Diceros bicornis minor: one gene and its partner. The protein of the gene in region 2 interacts with the protein of the main gene of each other region in a biochemical or structural test. Links are inferred from orthologs where the notes say so. Each region holds a gene or a part of one and is shown on either strand. Other genes may lie near its edges.

What was found.
Region 1: of the proteins of STUB1 (region 2) and IRF1, one has a biochemical effect on the other in vitro, tested with the Homo sapiens proteins (4 studies listed by BioGRID, with this or other methods). The link is inferred for Diceros bicornis minor from reciprocal best matches to the Homo sapiens genes STUB1 and IRF1.

What each region holds. Positions count from the first base shown.
Region 1 is NC_080740.1:51,801,824-51,809,372, reverse strand, and holds the start of IRF1 (interferon regulatory factor 1), read left to right. Parts: upstream 1-4,548; 5' UTR 4,549-4,978; intron 4,979-5,195; exon of another isoform or gene 5,196-5,298; intron 5,299-5,357; exon of another isoform or gene 5,358-5,372; intron 5,373-5,384; exon of another isoform or gene 5,385-5,464; intron 5,465-6,001; 5' UTR 6,002-6,006; coding exon 6,007-6,093; intron 6,094-7,393; coding exon 7,394-7,493; intron 7,494-7,549. UniProt on the Homo sapiens protein: Transcriptional regulator which displays a remarkable functional diversity in the regulation of cellular responses.
Region 2 is NC_080765.1:47,639,441-47,646,628, forward strand, and holds STUB1 (E3 ubiquitin-protein ligase CHIP), read right to left. Parts: upstream 2,844-7,188; 5' UTR 2,776-2,843; coding exon 2,617-2,775; intron 2,071-2,616; coding exon 1,872-2,070; intron 1,783-1,871; coding exon 1,617-1,782; intron 1,409-1,616; coding exon 1,321-1,408; intron 1,177-1,320; coding exon 1,120-1,176; intron 1,032-1,119; coding exon 714-1,031; 3' UTR 518-713; downstream 1-517. Other genes in the region: JMJD8 (jmjC domain-containing protein 8), read left to right, coding at 1-23, 99-233, 319-399; uncharacterized protein LOC131422050, read left to right, coding at 3,186-3,313, 3,387-3,780, 3,837-3,938, 4,260-4,335, 4,439-4,602; RHBDL1 (rhomboid-related protein 1), read right to left, coding at 5,237-5,508, 5,586-5,646, 5,727-6,012, 6,140-6,588, 6,810-6,983. UniProt on the Homo sapiens protein: E3 ubiquitin-protein ligase which targets misfolded chaperone substrates towards proteasomal degradation.

The DNA.
Region 1 (7,549 bases), on a different chromosome or scaffold from region 2:
CCTCGGGGCCCCACAGGGCGGATGAGGAGCTGAGGCCTCTTTCCTCCCAACGCAGTGTTTATAAGAAATGAAACTGCGCAGGGCATCAGCGGCAGCCCACACTGACGCCCGCTCCACCTCCGGAGTTCCGGAACAGCCCAGAGCGCTGGAGCAATTCCTCGGCCCACTCTTACAATGCAGGACCCCCTAGTGCTTTCCCAGCCAGCGGCAGCCTCCCACTCTGCGTTTAGGGCTTTTATAACACCACGACGTTTATTCTGCTGTGTCATACAGCATTTTTGCCAGAGCTGTGAGAGGGGAGGGGCTCGTCTCGTGCCCCAGCATATCCCCAGGGCCAAACCTGGAGTTGACCCAGAGCAGGAGTGCGATTCATATTTGTTGAATGAATTAAGAAACGCCTTTCTTTCTCTCCAACTAGGCTCCTTTCAGGCAGGGTGATTAAGCCTGGATTCTGTCTTCAAGCTTTTGAGTGCTTTCGGATGATTTTATGCCTGACTGGTGCTCTGTACTTCACAGTTTAGGACTGCCTGCCTCCCAGGTTTGCTGTGAAAATAGAGATGATGGCTGGGAGGGACTTGGAGCATCTAAGAGAGCCTTCCCTCTGGACCTGGGAGGCTGGATCGCCTGCTGGGGGTTCATCTGCTTTGGAGACTGTGGCCTCTTCTCTGGGTAGCAAGCCCCTGCAGGGGCCCAAGGATGCCCTACTCTCAAAAACCTAGTTAAAGCCTTGCTGGGTCCTGCACTTCAGGACTAACTGGAGCCCACGTAGCGGGTGCAGTGTGTTCTGAGAGCCTAGGGAGGGGGCTGGGGACAAGATTTGGTCCATCAGGGAAGAGGCTCCCACACGGGTGATCTTGCCCCCAGCATCCTGATTGCAGAAATCACCTCAAAGGAGGCTCTGCCAGCCAGTCAGCCTCCTGCCAGGCACCACAGGGCCCCATACCGAGAAACTGCACAATATATTTACCCTCATTGAGTGACAGTATAGATGGGAGGCATCCTGTGAGTGAGACCTTGCTCCAGAGCTAACCCCCAGCTAACTCCAGCTGCAGGTGTGAGGAACCTGCTCAGGTCTCTTGCAGAAAAATTCAGCCTTTGTTCCCCAGAAGGGGGAACATACAAACTGTGTTCAGAGAATGGAAATGCAGTGAAAGGTTCATGCATACTGTTAATACATGTCATTTGACTAATGTTTTACAGTTTAGAAAGGAGTTTGAGGGGCTGGCCCAGTGGTGTAGCCCTTAAGTGTGTGCACTTCGCTTCGACGGCCTGGGGTTCACCAGTTCGGATCGACGGCCTGGGGTTCACCAGTTCGGATCCCGGGCGCGCACCGATGCACTGCTTGTCAAGCCATGCTGTGGTGGCATCCCATATAAAGAGGAGGAAGATGGGCACAGATGTTAGCCCAGGACCAATCTTCCTCAGCAAAAAAAGAGGAGGATTGGCATTGGATGTTAGCTCAGGGCTAATCTTCGTCACAAAAAAAAAAAGAAAGGAGTTTGATAGTCTGTCTGATTTCATCTTCACAACAATTAGGAGAGATGCGCAGAGAGTATCTCTATTTTACAGATGAGAAAACTGAGGCCCAGAGAGGGAGAGTAACTTGCCTAAGGTCACACAGCAAGTAGCAAAAGTACAAAAACCCAGCTTTCAGACTCAAATCCTGTGTTCTCTTTCCAACGCCCTTTAGTTACTGCCAAGGGTAGCAGAGCCTTGGAAGAGAAGTTTGGAATGGGACCCCTAGGACCAGAGCGAGCAATGATTTGAATGTGGGGCTAAGGAGTCTTGGGGAACTCAGAATGCTCCTGGGTGGACCTGAATAGTAGGGAGATCATCAAAGTTAGGGAGATCATCCTAGTGCAGAGGTGCCAGGAGGGGCAGGCTTGATGGGGAGGGAGGCCCAAGAGGAGGCTGTGGCCACAACAATCTGGTCCTGGAACGTGAAGACATGATTTGATGTGAGGAAGGAAGACCCAGAGGATCAGGTGAGGCCAAGAGGGGAGGAAAATGGGAAAGACTTCACCAGGGAGGGAGCTGGAATTAGGAAGAGAGAAAGCTGCTGGGGACAGTGTGGAAAGGGGTGGAAAGACTTCTGCTTGTGTGTGTGTGAATTTGTGGAGAGGGTTGTAGAGGAGTGTCCAGAAGGCAGCTGGAGCTGCGGTTTGGAAGTCACCTGCCCAGAGGGGATGGCTGGAATTACAGACGATGAGTATTTTGAGGCAGAGAGGGGAAAGGGCCCACCGTGAATTACTAAGAAATACCTAGGGAAGATTCTATGTGTTCTGCTTAGTGTCACAGGGAATGTGTGCTACATCTTAGAATGGGATTCATTAAGAGCAGTTACAATAAAAATTTGAGGTGCTTAAATAGGGTTTAGCTTTATTTCGCTGATTTGGCATATAGCACCCCCAATCATGATAAGTGGATTTTTATAGACTTCAAGATAAAATAAGAATCCCTAAAATTAAAAGTAAAAAAAAAAAAAAAAGTCAAAGAACACTTCAAAGATGTAAATGACAATTTCATTGGTAAATCCTAACATTGGGGAATTTTTCCTAAGCAAAAAATTATTGATGTGCACAAAGATTTAGCTACAGAGTGTTGTATTATGAAAAGATGGAAATAACCTAAATGTCCTACAATAGGGGATTAATTGGGTAAATTTTTACTTATCCTTATGATAGAATAATACGTACCCATTACAAATGATATTGCAGAAGTACCTTTCATGACATGGAAAGATGCTCATTATATATACAGATGCACATATAGATGATTATCTGTGAATTAACGTTTTTGTTTTAAAGCACTTTTTACAGTCTCCTCTTGCCTTCATAGGGTCATTTTGGTTAATTTCTCAGACCACATGAGCTGCAAACTTCCTCTCCCTAATCTCATTCTGAATTTTCCATGGCCGTGTCAGATTCTTAGAGACAGGACAAGCATCCATTTGCTGCACAGAGAACAGACTTCACAATTCTGAAGCCACTTGTTTTCTGCTCTTCTTGCTCAGATGGTCTTGGTCTTTGTAGTGGGTTCCCACTCCTATCTGTCACTTAAAGCACTCCACCCCTTCTCCCCCTTCCAGGGCCTCAGCACCTTCCCTTCTCCTTGACACCCAGCTAGGCTCATTCCTCACAGTTCCTCCTGCCTCTGCCCTCTCCCAGCTCCTGCACCCACCACTGTCTGGAGACAGCTCTGACCCATTCCTGTTGGTCTCCTGAGAACCAAGCTTGGCGTTATTCACAGCATCAGATTCTGGGGCACCAGAATTGGATTAACCCATCCATCTCCTCTGTGGGAGGGAGGCAGTAGAGTGACTGACAGGTGGAATGCTGCATCAATGTGTCTATTTATAGACTGCATCATTGCAACTGGGTGCTGCTGTGGAAGGAGAGCTGGGGTTTGGGGAGTGACACAACCAGCCCTGCCTGGAAGAGTGATTTACTTCTGAGTCAGCACCTTTGAGGAGTTGAAGGAAGGAGCCTGCTGGGCCACAGTTATGCATGGAAATGAACACAGCACAGCCTCTAGAAGTACAAGTGGAGCAAGGTCTAGTAAGCACACAAGTTAAGTAGCTGCCCTTCCCAAGTGGCCTGGGGCCTGGGCTCCCCAACCTTTTGGCTAGACCCATGGCCTTGGCCAGCCATAAGCAATGCCCTCATGCTGCCAAGAACCTCTCTGGGCCAAGCCTTGAGGACCCAGAAACAACACCAAGGCTGCCACTGAGGAGCTCCCAGGCAAAGGACATGTGAGGATGTGGAGGTGGCCTAAGGCAGGAGTGCTAGGAGGGACCAAGGCTACCCCACCCCAGCTCAGCAGTCCTTGATTCTCTGAAACAATTCTCCTCTCTTTCCCTAAGGCCAGACGTGGGGCAGTCCCAGGGATGTAGACGGTAAAGGGGGAGAGGTGTCTCCCTGGTCATTATTGTACTCCCAGCAGGGACCTTGCAAACCATGCAGCATCTGCTGCCCAAAAAGCATGGAGCTTTAGAGACATCATCTCTCTCTGTCACTGTAGACCAGCAAGGTAGGGCTATCACTATTTCGTAGTTGAGGAAACTGAGGTCCAGAGGCTGTGCCAGCAGCAGCCAGCCTGGGATTTCCTCTCGTCCGGCAGCCCCAAGCAGCACGCCAGGCAGAGTAGGCTTTCCTTTACTTTCCCAGGGCAGGCGAGTGATCTGGAGGTGTGTCACCCCTCAAAAAGGGGGCAGTGTGAGGGTCGAAATCCTCCCTTCTTGACACCCCATTAACAGGCCTGAGGAACCAGGTTACTTTTCAGGGGTTCCATCTTGGTGTTCACTCTGAAGAGGGCGGCAGGTGCCCGACTGACCCCCTCACCTGCGCTCTGGAGATTGATGTCCCCACCTCCGGAGAGGAGAGTGAAGAGACAGCCACAGGAGCTAGCAGGCTGGGAGAACGCGGAGTGAGGGAAGTAACCGCGGGGCCGGAGGGTGTTCGGCTTTCCAGGACAGCCTTTCTCCCGGGCTAGCTGCTGTGGGGGTGGAGTGGGAGAGGGCGGGGCGGGCCCGCGGACGCCCCGGGGCGGTGGCGCCGGGCCGGAGGGGGTGGGGAGAAGCAGCCGCCCTGTACTTCCCCTTCGCCGCTAGCTCTACAACAGCCTGATTTCTCCGAAATGATGTGGCGGCGCCGGCCAATCGGCGTCCTCGCGGCTCTTTAGAGGCGGGGCCGAGCATGGGTTGGGGGAATCCCGCTAAGTGTTTAGATTTCTCGCCGGCGCCGCTGCCCCGGCAGAGCGCGCCACTCCTTCGTCGAGGCAGGACGTGCGTCCGAGTCGCGCGGAGCAGAGGCCAGCAGGAGCCGTGCCAAGCCCAGGCCAGCCGTGCCCAGCAGCCCCGCGACCCGGGCATCCTCTGCCTTCGCTCCCACCCGGAATCGCGCTCCCCGCGCCGGCATAGCAGCTCCCGCTGCGCCAGGACCGGATCGCGCGCCGCCACCGGATCGCGCCCGCTGCAGAGGTGAGCCGCCTTCGCCGCGGAGGGACCGGTGGCGTCGAACAAAAGGGCGCTGGGCACCAGAAAGTGGGGGCCGAAAACCCCAGGCAGGAGAGTCGCGGGCGCGCGGCGTTGTCTGGGTCCCCGAGCGGTCTCGGGAGGGCGCTGGAGGAGCGGCGAGCGGCAGCGCGGGGAGGGCGGACCGCGGCGTGGACCGCCCACCCGGCAGAGGTTGCAGGCGTGCGGTCGCTTTCTCAGATCTGTATGCGCGAAGCTGCCGGGGGCCTCTAGGTGGCCCGGAGTGTTCGTTGCGCGCATCCACAAGCCGTGCCGGGAACTCCAGTGTACGTCCGCGCGTGGGCGCTCTGTGTTCCCGAAGGCGGCTTTCGGCGGTCCCAGCTCCGCGCCGAGGCCCCAGGTTTCAGGCTATCTATGCAAGCGGCGGGGGCTGGGGCTTGCTGCCCTGGGTGGCTGGAGGACCTGCTGGAGCTGCGGGAGGAGGCGCCACAGGTGTTTCTTGGGCCACTTCGCCGAGGAGGGGAGCCAGGCAGGAAGGGTTTGCGTCCCGGCCTCTGTACTGTGGCTGTCAGGGAGGCGTAGAATAGATGGGGGTCGGGGGAGGATGCCCAGGGTGCAGGGTGACTGCTTGCCCTTCGGGAAAGGTGCACAGCCAGTGGCAACAACTCAAGTAGGGACATTTCTTGGCATCAAGCAAAAGAATCCCCTCCCTTCCCAAAGGATTTGAATTTGGGGAGAAAAGTTCTGGTATTAAGATTCCTGTGTATTTTGCCTCTTTTTCCTGCACATAAATCCTGAAACTATCACTTGCAAGCCTGTCTCCTCCCAAGGCTCTCTAGGAGGGGGTGAGGGAAGGGGCAGAAGTTGGAGGGCAGATTTATTTCAGTGAAAGCCCCTTTCCTCACGATTGTAGTACCTGGGACCTGGCTGAAGGTGGGGAAGGTAACTGAATGACCTGGGGTGGGGCAGGGTAGTGCCTATGGCTGCTCAATAGATTCCAAACAGGAGCCTTCTGTCTTCTCTTTACAGCCAACATGCCCATCACTCGGATGCGCATGAGACCCTGGCTAGAGATGCAGATTAATTCCAACCAAATCCCCGGGCTGATCTGGATTAATAAAGTGAGTGTAACTCTTTGGGTTTGTCTGCCGCTATTTTAACCCATGTTCTTTGGGGGACCAAAGCTTCAGATGCAGTTCGAAAAGGGAAGTAATAGGGAGCAGGCAGCTGTGTTTCCCAGTGACTCCTGCATGCAGGGGGTGTGGGAGGCCCAGCCCTGGGCCCCACTTGCCCAACTTCTGCCTTTCTCCCTCCTCAGGGTATGGACAGGGCACCCACCTGAGGGCACTGACAGTTCCCAGCAGCAGGGCTCTGCCAGCATCTGCAGAGCTGGAGTTCTGGTCTCTTCTGAGGGAGACTCCTACAAACACACATAGCATCCTACAGGGCTCCAGTCAGACTGATGGGAGACAGAGAAGTGGGCACTGCTGGCAGGAAGGTGGCTGGCTCAGCAGGGGACCCAAGAATTAACCTTGCACCATTGCCCAGGCCCAAGAAGCCTCTTGCTGGTGCACAAAGGGCAACACAGACCCTGCAGACTTAATAGTAATAATAGTATTCATAATAATAGCTAATGCTTACTGTATACTCACTAGGAGTGTGGCACCATGCTAAGTATGTTACTTACATTGTGTCATTTAATCCTCAAAATAGCCCTGTGAGGTAGATCCTATTAATATCTCCATTTTCAGATAAGGAAACTGAGGCACTGAGAAGTAGAAAATAAGATCACATAAAAAGTGATAAAGCCAAGATTTGAACCTGATCAGTCTGACTCAAAAATCCATACTGTTAATCACCAGTAACAACAGTGAGACCTTAGTCTTTATATTTGTCACTGTGTTTTGTCATTCCATAGAAGACAAGACAGGGACAAAGAGGAACAGTGACAGTGCCAGGATCACACAGGTAGTCAGCATCCAAGTCTGGCCCAGGGCTCCCTCAGGTGTAGGGCCAGGACCCCCTGTGTAGGAGCCAGTGGTCCCAGGTGTCCTAAGCAGCCCCATCTAATTGATGGAGTTCTCACTTCCATGTTGATGCTGACAAGCCAGAGAGAAGCATCCCAGGGAGCTCTGTATGGGTTCCAGCACATCTGTAACAGACAGAGTGAGGTCTTTGCTGAGCTGATGGTACCACAGCTCATCAGAACCCAGAGCCCCTTCTGAGAGATCCAGAGTGATAGAGTAGCTGGTTTAAGCCAATCTCAGGATGGGTCAACCCAAGCCAGATGTCAGGGTGAAAAGGGGAAGTCAGCCTTTTCCCACACCTGGGGGGCTGGGCAGACTCAGGCCAAAAACCTGTGGTCTCTGAGCTGACACAGCCTTGTGTGTGTGTGTGTGTGTGTGTGTGTGTGCTGTTCAGGAGGAGATGATCTTCCAGATCCCATGGAAGCACGCGGCCAAGCATGGCTGGGACATCAACAAGGACGCCTGTCTGTTCCGGAGCTGGGCCATTCACACAGGTGTGTGCCTTGGACTTCAGCCCAGGAGGGGCCAGGGAAGAGATGAGAGGAGGCAC
Region 2 (7,188 bases):
CGGAGGTGATCTACGGCCGCAAGGTCAGCACAGGGTCGGAGCTGAGGCTTGGGGCTCACTGACAACGTGGACAGTGACCTTGCTGTTCCTGCCTTTAGCGCTGGTTCCTGTATCCCCCTGAGAAGACACCAGAGTTCCACCCCAACAAGACCACGCTAGCCTGGTTCCGGGACACATACCCAGCCCTGGCACCATCTGCGCGGCCCCTGGAGTGCACCATCCAAGCTGGTGAGGTCAGTGGCTGGCAGAAGGGGGCCAGGCTGTATTGGGCTGAGGGCCCCCACCTGACTCCTATGTTCCCCCTCCTATCCCCACCAGGTGCTGTATTTCCCTGACCGATGGTGGCATGCCACACTCAACCTTGATACCAGTGTCTTCATCTCTACCTTCCTCAGCTAGCCAGTGGGCCCATCGCGCACCAGCACGTGCCCCTATAGTGCTCACATATTTTATTACAGGGACAGTGGTGGCAGCGGCAGCCTCAGCCCAGCCCAGCCCAGCCCAGCCCACCCTCACCTGCTGTTTCCAGCCCAGAAAGGGGACAGGGGAGGCTGATGGCCCAGCATCAGAACTGACGGAGAGTGGCATGGGGACACTGGGGCAAGAATTCAGGGACATGAACTCTGTACAGGGGCCAGGGCTACTGCCCCAAGGCCCTCCAGGGCCAGGTTACCGGGCAAAGCGGGGCGAGTGGCCCTTGCACTGGCCCTGCCTCAGTAGTCCTCCACCCAGCCGTTCTCGGAGATGAATGCATCGATGACCTCTTTCATGGCCAGGTTAGGGATGAGCTGCTCCTGGGTCAGGGGGCTCCGGGTCACAGGGTCAAAGTGGCCCACGCGCTGTAGTGACAACAGGGTCAGAAGGTGGTCAGTGGATCCAGGCCCTGCCCCCAACACCCGCTGGTCCTCCCTCACCTGCAGGTGCTCCTCGATGTCCTTGCGGTCGTAAGTGATGCCGCTGGGTGTGATGCAGGGTTCCCGCATCAGCTCAAAGCTGATTTTGCCACAAAGGTAGTCGGGGATGTCTCGTTTCTGCAACACACAGGTCAGGTCAGGGAGCAGGAAGGGGACACTGCTCTGATTCCGGCTACCCACAGGCCCCAGGAAACAGACAGCACACCTTTCTCTTCTCGTCCACCTGGGAGAAGAGCTCATCCATGTCTGCCAAGAACTTGTCCTGTGAAGAAGCGAGCAGCTACGCGTGGGGTAAACACTCCATTTCCCTTCCCCAGGCGCAGACACACACCTAACAGGAACCAGCAGCACCCTCACATTGCATGCATGCACACACAGACCCACACGTGGGCCAGGGCACCCTCACGTGCTTGGCCTCGATGCAGGCCTGCTGGGTCCGGAGATGACCATCGTCTTCATCACCCCTGTGGCTCCGCTGACACTCTTCCAGCTCCCTGGAAGTCGACCAAGGAGCTGGTCAGAGATGGGTCTGGCCAGGAGAGGTCAGAGTGCATGCCAACCTCGGGCTTATTCAGACCTCATCTCCTGTCTCCTGCTTGCCAGTGTTGGCCTTCAATAAATACTTGTGTTTGTGACTCAGAGTTGATCTCAGAGTGGTGACTTGGGGAGGGTGCCCTGGAGCCTGCCACCACCACAGCCTACCTCTCACGCTCAGCTGTGATGAGCCGCGTGAGGTAGGAGTGCAGCTCGCTCTCCTGGTTGATGCGCCTTTCCTCAATGCTGTTCCAGCGCTTCTTCTTGGCGATGCGCAGGGCACTGGGGATGTCGTCTCCAAAGTTGAGCCGCTGCTCTTTGGCCAAGTTGTAGGCTGGGGAATGGGGGCCTCATGTCACCCTCTGGCCAGTCCACCCCCCTGTTCTCAGGCACCCCCATAACCAGCCAAGCCTGTAGGCCCACCTCGCTGCAGATTAGCAATGGCCTCATCATAGCTCTCCATCTCCAGCTGGCACTGCCCCAAGAAGAAGTGCGCCTTCACAGACTGCCCGTCCAGCTCCAGGGCGCGCCGGCAGTCGGCCAGGGCCTGCTCGTGCTGCTGCATCTTCAGGTAGCAGAGTGCCCGGTTGGTGTAATACACCGCCACCAGGGGATTCCGGGTCTGGGGACCAAGGCAGGGCCAGCCAGCATGAGGGTGTGAGCTCAGCCTGCCCCCTCTATCCCAGTTTGTGGCCCATAGCTGGAATCAAGACACTAGAGATTTCTCAGCCTCAAAGTCCCTGGGTCCTGAGAGTTGGTGGAGATGGAGTGCTGGCCCCGAAGCCTATCTGAGCCCACCCTCTTGACTCCAATAGGTTTTGTAACCGCAAGTTTCCCAGACTTAGGGAGATCCCAGCTTTCGGCCTGCGGTCCTCAAGGGGCAAGGATCCCTGGCCCCCCGCCCGACGGGCATCAAGCACCCTGAAGCTCCCACCCGCCACAGTTCTCCGGCAACCAGCACCGGCTGGAGAGCCGCGGCCTTGGCCCCTTTGGAACAAGATCATCACTGAGTCCTCAAAGCCCAAACGCCCTCCGGAAGAGCCAAAATCCTCCGAAGGAGCGGCGGGGGCGGCCGGGCAGGGGCTTGCGGGAGGACTCGGAGCCGAAGCCGCGGCCCCGCCCCTCTCCGCCCGGACGCCGGCCCCTCCCCCGGCGCGGGCACACTCACGATGGCGCGACCGTAGCAGGCCGCCGCCTCCGGGTACTTGCGGCCCACGAAGAGCCGGTTGCCCTGCTCCTTGAGCTCCTGCGCACTCGGGCTCTTCTCGGGGCTCCCGCCGCCGGCGCCCAGCCGCGCGCCGCCCTCCTTCTCCTCCTTGCCCTTCATGGCGCCGCGCGGCACGGCCTGGGCTCCGCTCCCAGGCTCCGCGCCCGGCCCGGCCGCCCGCCCGCAGCCCGAGCCCGCGATGCGCTCGGGCCGGGTCCACCGATCCGCCACCGGAATTTCCGGCCGCGTGGGGCGGGGCCCGCAGGCCGGACAGACACGCGCGGGTGGGCGGGGCCGCGCGTGCGCCCGACACACTGCGGGGGCGGGGCAGGCCGGCAGAGTGCGTCCCCGGAGACGCAACCCGCGGCGTCGGAAGTCTGCGTGATCGTCGAGGGCGGCCCTAGATGCTCTCAGCCACGCGCGTTTAGGGGTTGTTCTTCCAGAAGCTCGCCCCGACTCTCCCTGATCCCGCCCCCAACTCTCCGAGGCCCCGCCCCCGACTCTCCCAGGCCCCGGCCCGGCGCCCGAACATGGCAGCCGCCCGCGGGTTGTGGGGCTGTGAGGACTCGAATCTCTGGACCGCCATCCTGGCGCGCCACGGGGAGGTGCTGCGGGCCCACCCGGACTCCCAGGGGCGGCTGGAAGCCCTGGATCGATGGTAGGCCGGTGGGAGGGGTCGGTAGGGCGGGCGACTCCCGCTGCCCGAACTCCCCGTCACCGTCCTTCCCCAGGTATCGAGTGGAGTTGCCCGCAGCCATCCAGGACCGCGCAGAGAAGCACGTGACACTAGATGACCTAAAGTGGCTGCTAGCGTGGAAGCTGGTGGTGAGGGGCTTCTCACGTGGGGGGCGGGGTCTCGGCGGGGCGTGTCCTCCTCCTATGGGCGCGTCCTCGCGGCGCGGGATTTGGGCTCCTCCTGGGGGCGGTCCCCGCGGTATGGGGCGTGGCTTCCCCCAGGAGGCGGGTCCTCGCTGTGTGGGCGTGGCCTTCTCCGGGAGGCGGGTCCTCGCGGCGTGGGCGCGGCTTCCTCGGGGGCCGAGTCCCCGCGGCGTGGGGCGCGGCTCCCTTGTGGCAGCAGGTCCTCATGGCGTGGTGCGGAGCCTCGCGGGCCGGGGCGCGGCGGGGGTGGGGGTCCCTGGCGAGGACCACCACCCGTGACCCACAATCTGGCCTGGCCCCAGAGAGGCCGCTTCCGGCCGCGCCTCGTGACCTCCAATGCCCCCGAGCTGGTGTTGCAGCGCTCGGCCACCGCCTTCCGCCTGCTGCCGGACCTGCAGGCAGCGGTCAGGGAATTGTCACAGAATTGTGCACCCTCCGCGGCGTGGGCCCCGCCACCGCCTCGGGTTAGTTGGGAGAGCTGGGCGCCCCAGCAGGGTCGCGGGCGGGACCTGGCCTGGTAGCGCCCTTGTCTGTAAAAAGGACAGATGGTCATGTCCATGACACCAGCAGTCACTGGGAATGGCAGCCCCACGCCAAGATTGTCCCAAGAGTGGCAGAGGCTGAGTGCTGGCCCTTCCTATCCACAGCGGTCCTTGCTGCTGGAGTCCCCGAGGAGGCAGCATTCATTTCCGACGAGGCAGTGGCCGCAGTGCTTGGCCTGCTAGCTCTGCAGTACACTCTCCAAGCACTACATGTTGTACCTGGGTGGGGGGCGGGAGTGTGCCACAGCCCTGAGCAGAGGTGAGGACGTCCAGGACCCAGTGAAGGGGCAGTGTGCAAAGCTGTCCAGCAGGGGAGGGAGGCCAGGGCCCCTGGTCCCCAGACTCCTCCTGTTCCTCCCTAGGCAGCACCTCAGGGGTGTGGACCCCTCACCACGTGGAGACAGCACTGTGGACCTGGGTTGTGAGGCAGAAGCTGTGCCCCGACCTGCTGCCCAACCTCGGCCCTGGCCCAGCCACCCCTGAGGGCACTAGGCCAGCCAAGAAGCACAGGACCCAGGCTGACTGAACGTGGCTGTGGCCCAGGGCCTGCTCACCTGCCGCGCAACCTCAGGCCACAGGTCTCTGGTTGGCCAGCTGGCAGAGCAGGAGCCAGCTGCTGTAGGCACTCAGTAAATGCTTGCTGAGCTCTCCCCTGACGGTGAGACCCTCAGCCCTGCCCCAGAACCTCCTGCCTCCTACAAACACACCTCATACCAGGTGGAGGGAGCAAGGGGGAGCCCAGGCCGCCTGCATGGAGGGAAGGGCCCTCACGGTCTGCTCAGCAAGTGGGGGGAGGCCAGACCAGCCCCCAGAGCTCTGGTACAGCCACCTGGTGCTGTGTAAAATATTTATTCATTCTCCAAAAAGGCTCAGACCGCAAATCCTGGGTGGGGAGGCTGGGAGGCAGGGTCTCCTCTGGGGCCACCCTTGGGGACCTCCACCACCAGGCCCAGCCCAACAGTCCTACACCCCCAGGCCTGGGAGGGGGCACCAGGGCTGGTGTAAGGCTCAGCCTGGACTTGGGGCCACAGGGGCCACCCGCCCCACAGGGGAGAAGCAGCAGCCTTGAGACGTACATTCACGGAGGGCGGATGTGCAGGCCCGCCTGGTGGCTGGCCCACACACACCTTCGCCCTGGCCTGTGTAGCTCCAGAAGCCCGTTACGGCGGTGGGGGGATGTGGGCGCCTAGCAGGTCGTAGGCGAAGATGTTCCAGAAAATGGCGAAGAGCAGGAAGGTGCCATAGGCGAGCAGCACCACCCACCAGCCGCACTGGTCTCGCAGGCGCTCCTCGTAGCTGCGCAGGATGGTCAGGCCCATGCTGACTCCCACCACAGCGCCCGCCAGGTGCGCCATGAAGCTGGGCTGCGGGCCCGAGGCAGGCAGTGGCGGGGAGAAGCGCAGCCACACGGCCCGGCCCACCTCGGAGCTCACTGCAGAGGGAAGCAGCAGGTGGGAGGCACCCTGGCCATAGGCTCAGTCCCCCCAGTCCCCCCAGCCCCCTACTCACTGCACACCAGGGCCAGCACCATCCTCAGCAGCTTGTACGGACACCTCATCCCAGCCCAGTTCTGTGGGGTGTGAGACAGAAAGGCCATGAGGCAGGCCTCGTTTGCCCCTCCCCACACCCTGCCCGTGGTTGCCCCCTTACCATGACGACGTTGGCCAGGTGTGCTGAGCACAGGGCATAGACCCCGCCGGAGCCCCCCACCACAGGGGCCCGCATGTCAGTGATGGAGACGGTCAGGGAGCCTATGTGAACAAAGGGGGGCCGTGAGAGAGAGGCCTGCCAACAAGGTGGCCAGGGGACACACGCCTGCTCACCTGCCAGCACGCCAGCCAGGTAGAGCAGGCTGATGCGGAGCAGGCCGTGCACCATCTCCAGGGGCACCCCGATCATCAGCTGCAGGAGTGCGTTGAACCCCAGCTGCTCCAACCTGGCCATGTGGGGGCAAACGGGTGCGAGGAGTGAGGTCAGCTGTCGGGCCTCCAGCCCACAGCCTCATCTAAAGGGGCTGAGCCCTCCTGATTCAATCACAGGGGTACTGGAGGGGCCTCACTCACCCGACGTGCATGAACATGTAGGTGAGGAAGCGCCAGGCCCGGGCGCGGTGGCCGGGGTGGTACACGAGGGGGCTCCTCATGTACTCGGGGTGGTAGGTCTGCAGCACCCACTTGTTGAGGCGGGCCCCGTAGCACAGGAACACGACAATCTGGGGGAGACGGGTATTAGGGCTAGGCAAGCCAGTGACATGGGTGGCTCCCAGGTGGCACGTGGGCAGGCCCACCTGGGCGAGGGTGACCGAGGCCATAAACACCGGGGGTGGGCAACTGCGATGCCGGTAGAAGTACCAGTGGCGGTCCACCTCTCGGGGCAGGATCTCATAGGCCACGTAGCGCACAAACCGCTTGTAGACACCCAGGCCCGGCTCGTCCAGCAGCCCGTCCCGGGGCAGTGCCCGCTGTCCATTGGTGATGGCGTGCTTGAAGCTGCTTGAGCGCTTGCTGCTGATCTGGGGGGCGGGGCCTAAGCGTGGGCCACTGTACTACACCCACAGCCGCCCTGCCCATGTGGCCTGCCCAGCTCCTCACAGGGTCTGAGGCCCTGCCCAACGTCCACAGCCCTCCCCAGTGGGAGGCAGGGAGGAGGGGCCGCCTGCCCACCCAACCCCGGCCTTCCAGCACAGCACTTGGCCAGCCAAGGCCTGGGACCCCGCCCCTGCTGCACACCCACCGTGACACTGACCAGGTCCACCAACTCCTGGTAGCAGACCTGACCCCTCTCGTTGCTCTGGGCCAGGGCCACAAGCATGTCCAGCTTGGCCGGGTCCAGGGGCAGCTCATGGCTGTGCACCAGGCCAGTGAAGGTGTCCGCACCGATGAAGCCTGTGTTGTCAGGATCCAGCTGCTGGGGTGAGGAGACCGCCAGCCAAGGCCTGAGGGTGGGCCCAGCCCCCAGACCACAGGGCTGGGCCAGGCCAGCTAGAGGAGACAGGCTCTGAGCACCCTCAGGCCAGGCCCCTGTGCCCACGTGGTCCCAGGAGCTGCAGGGCTCTAGCGCCCAGGTCCCAGGCCTCCACCTTCTCCAGCTCTCCAGAGGTCTCCCCACCTTA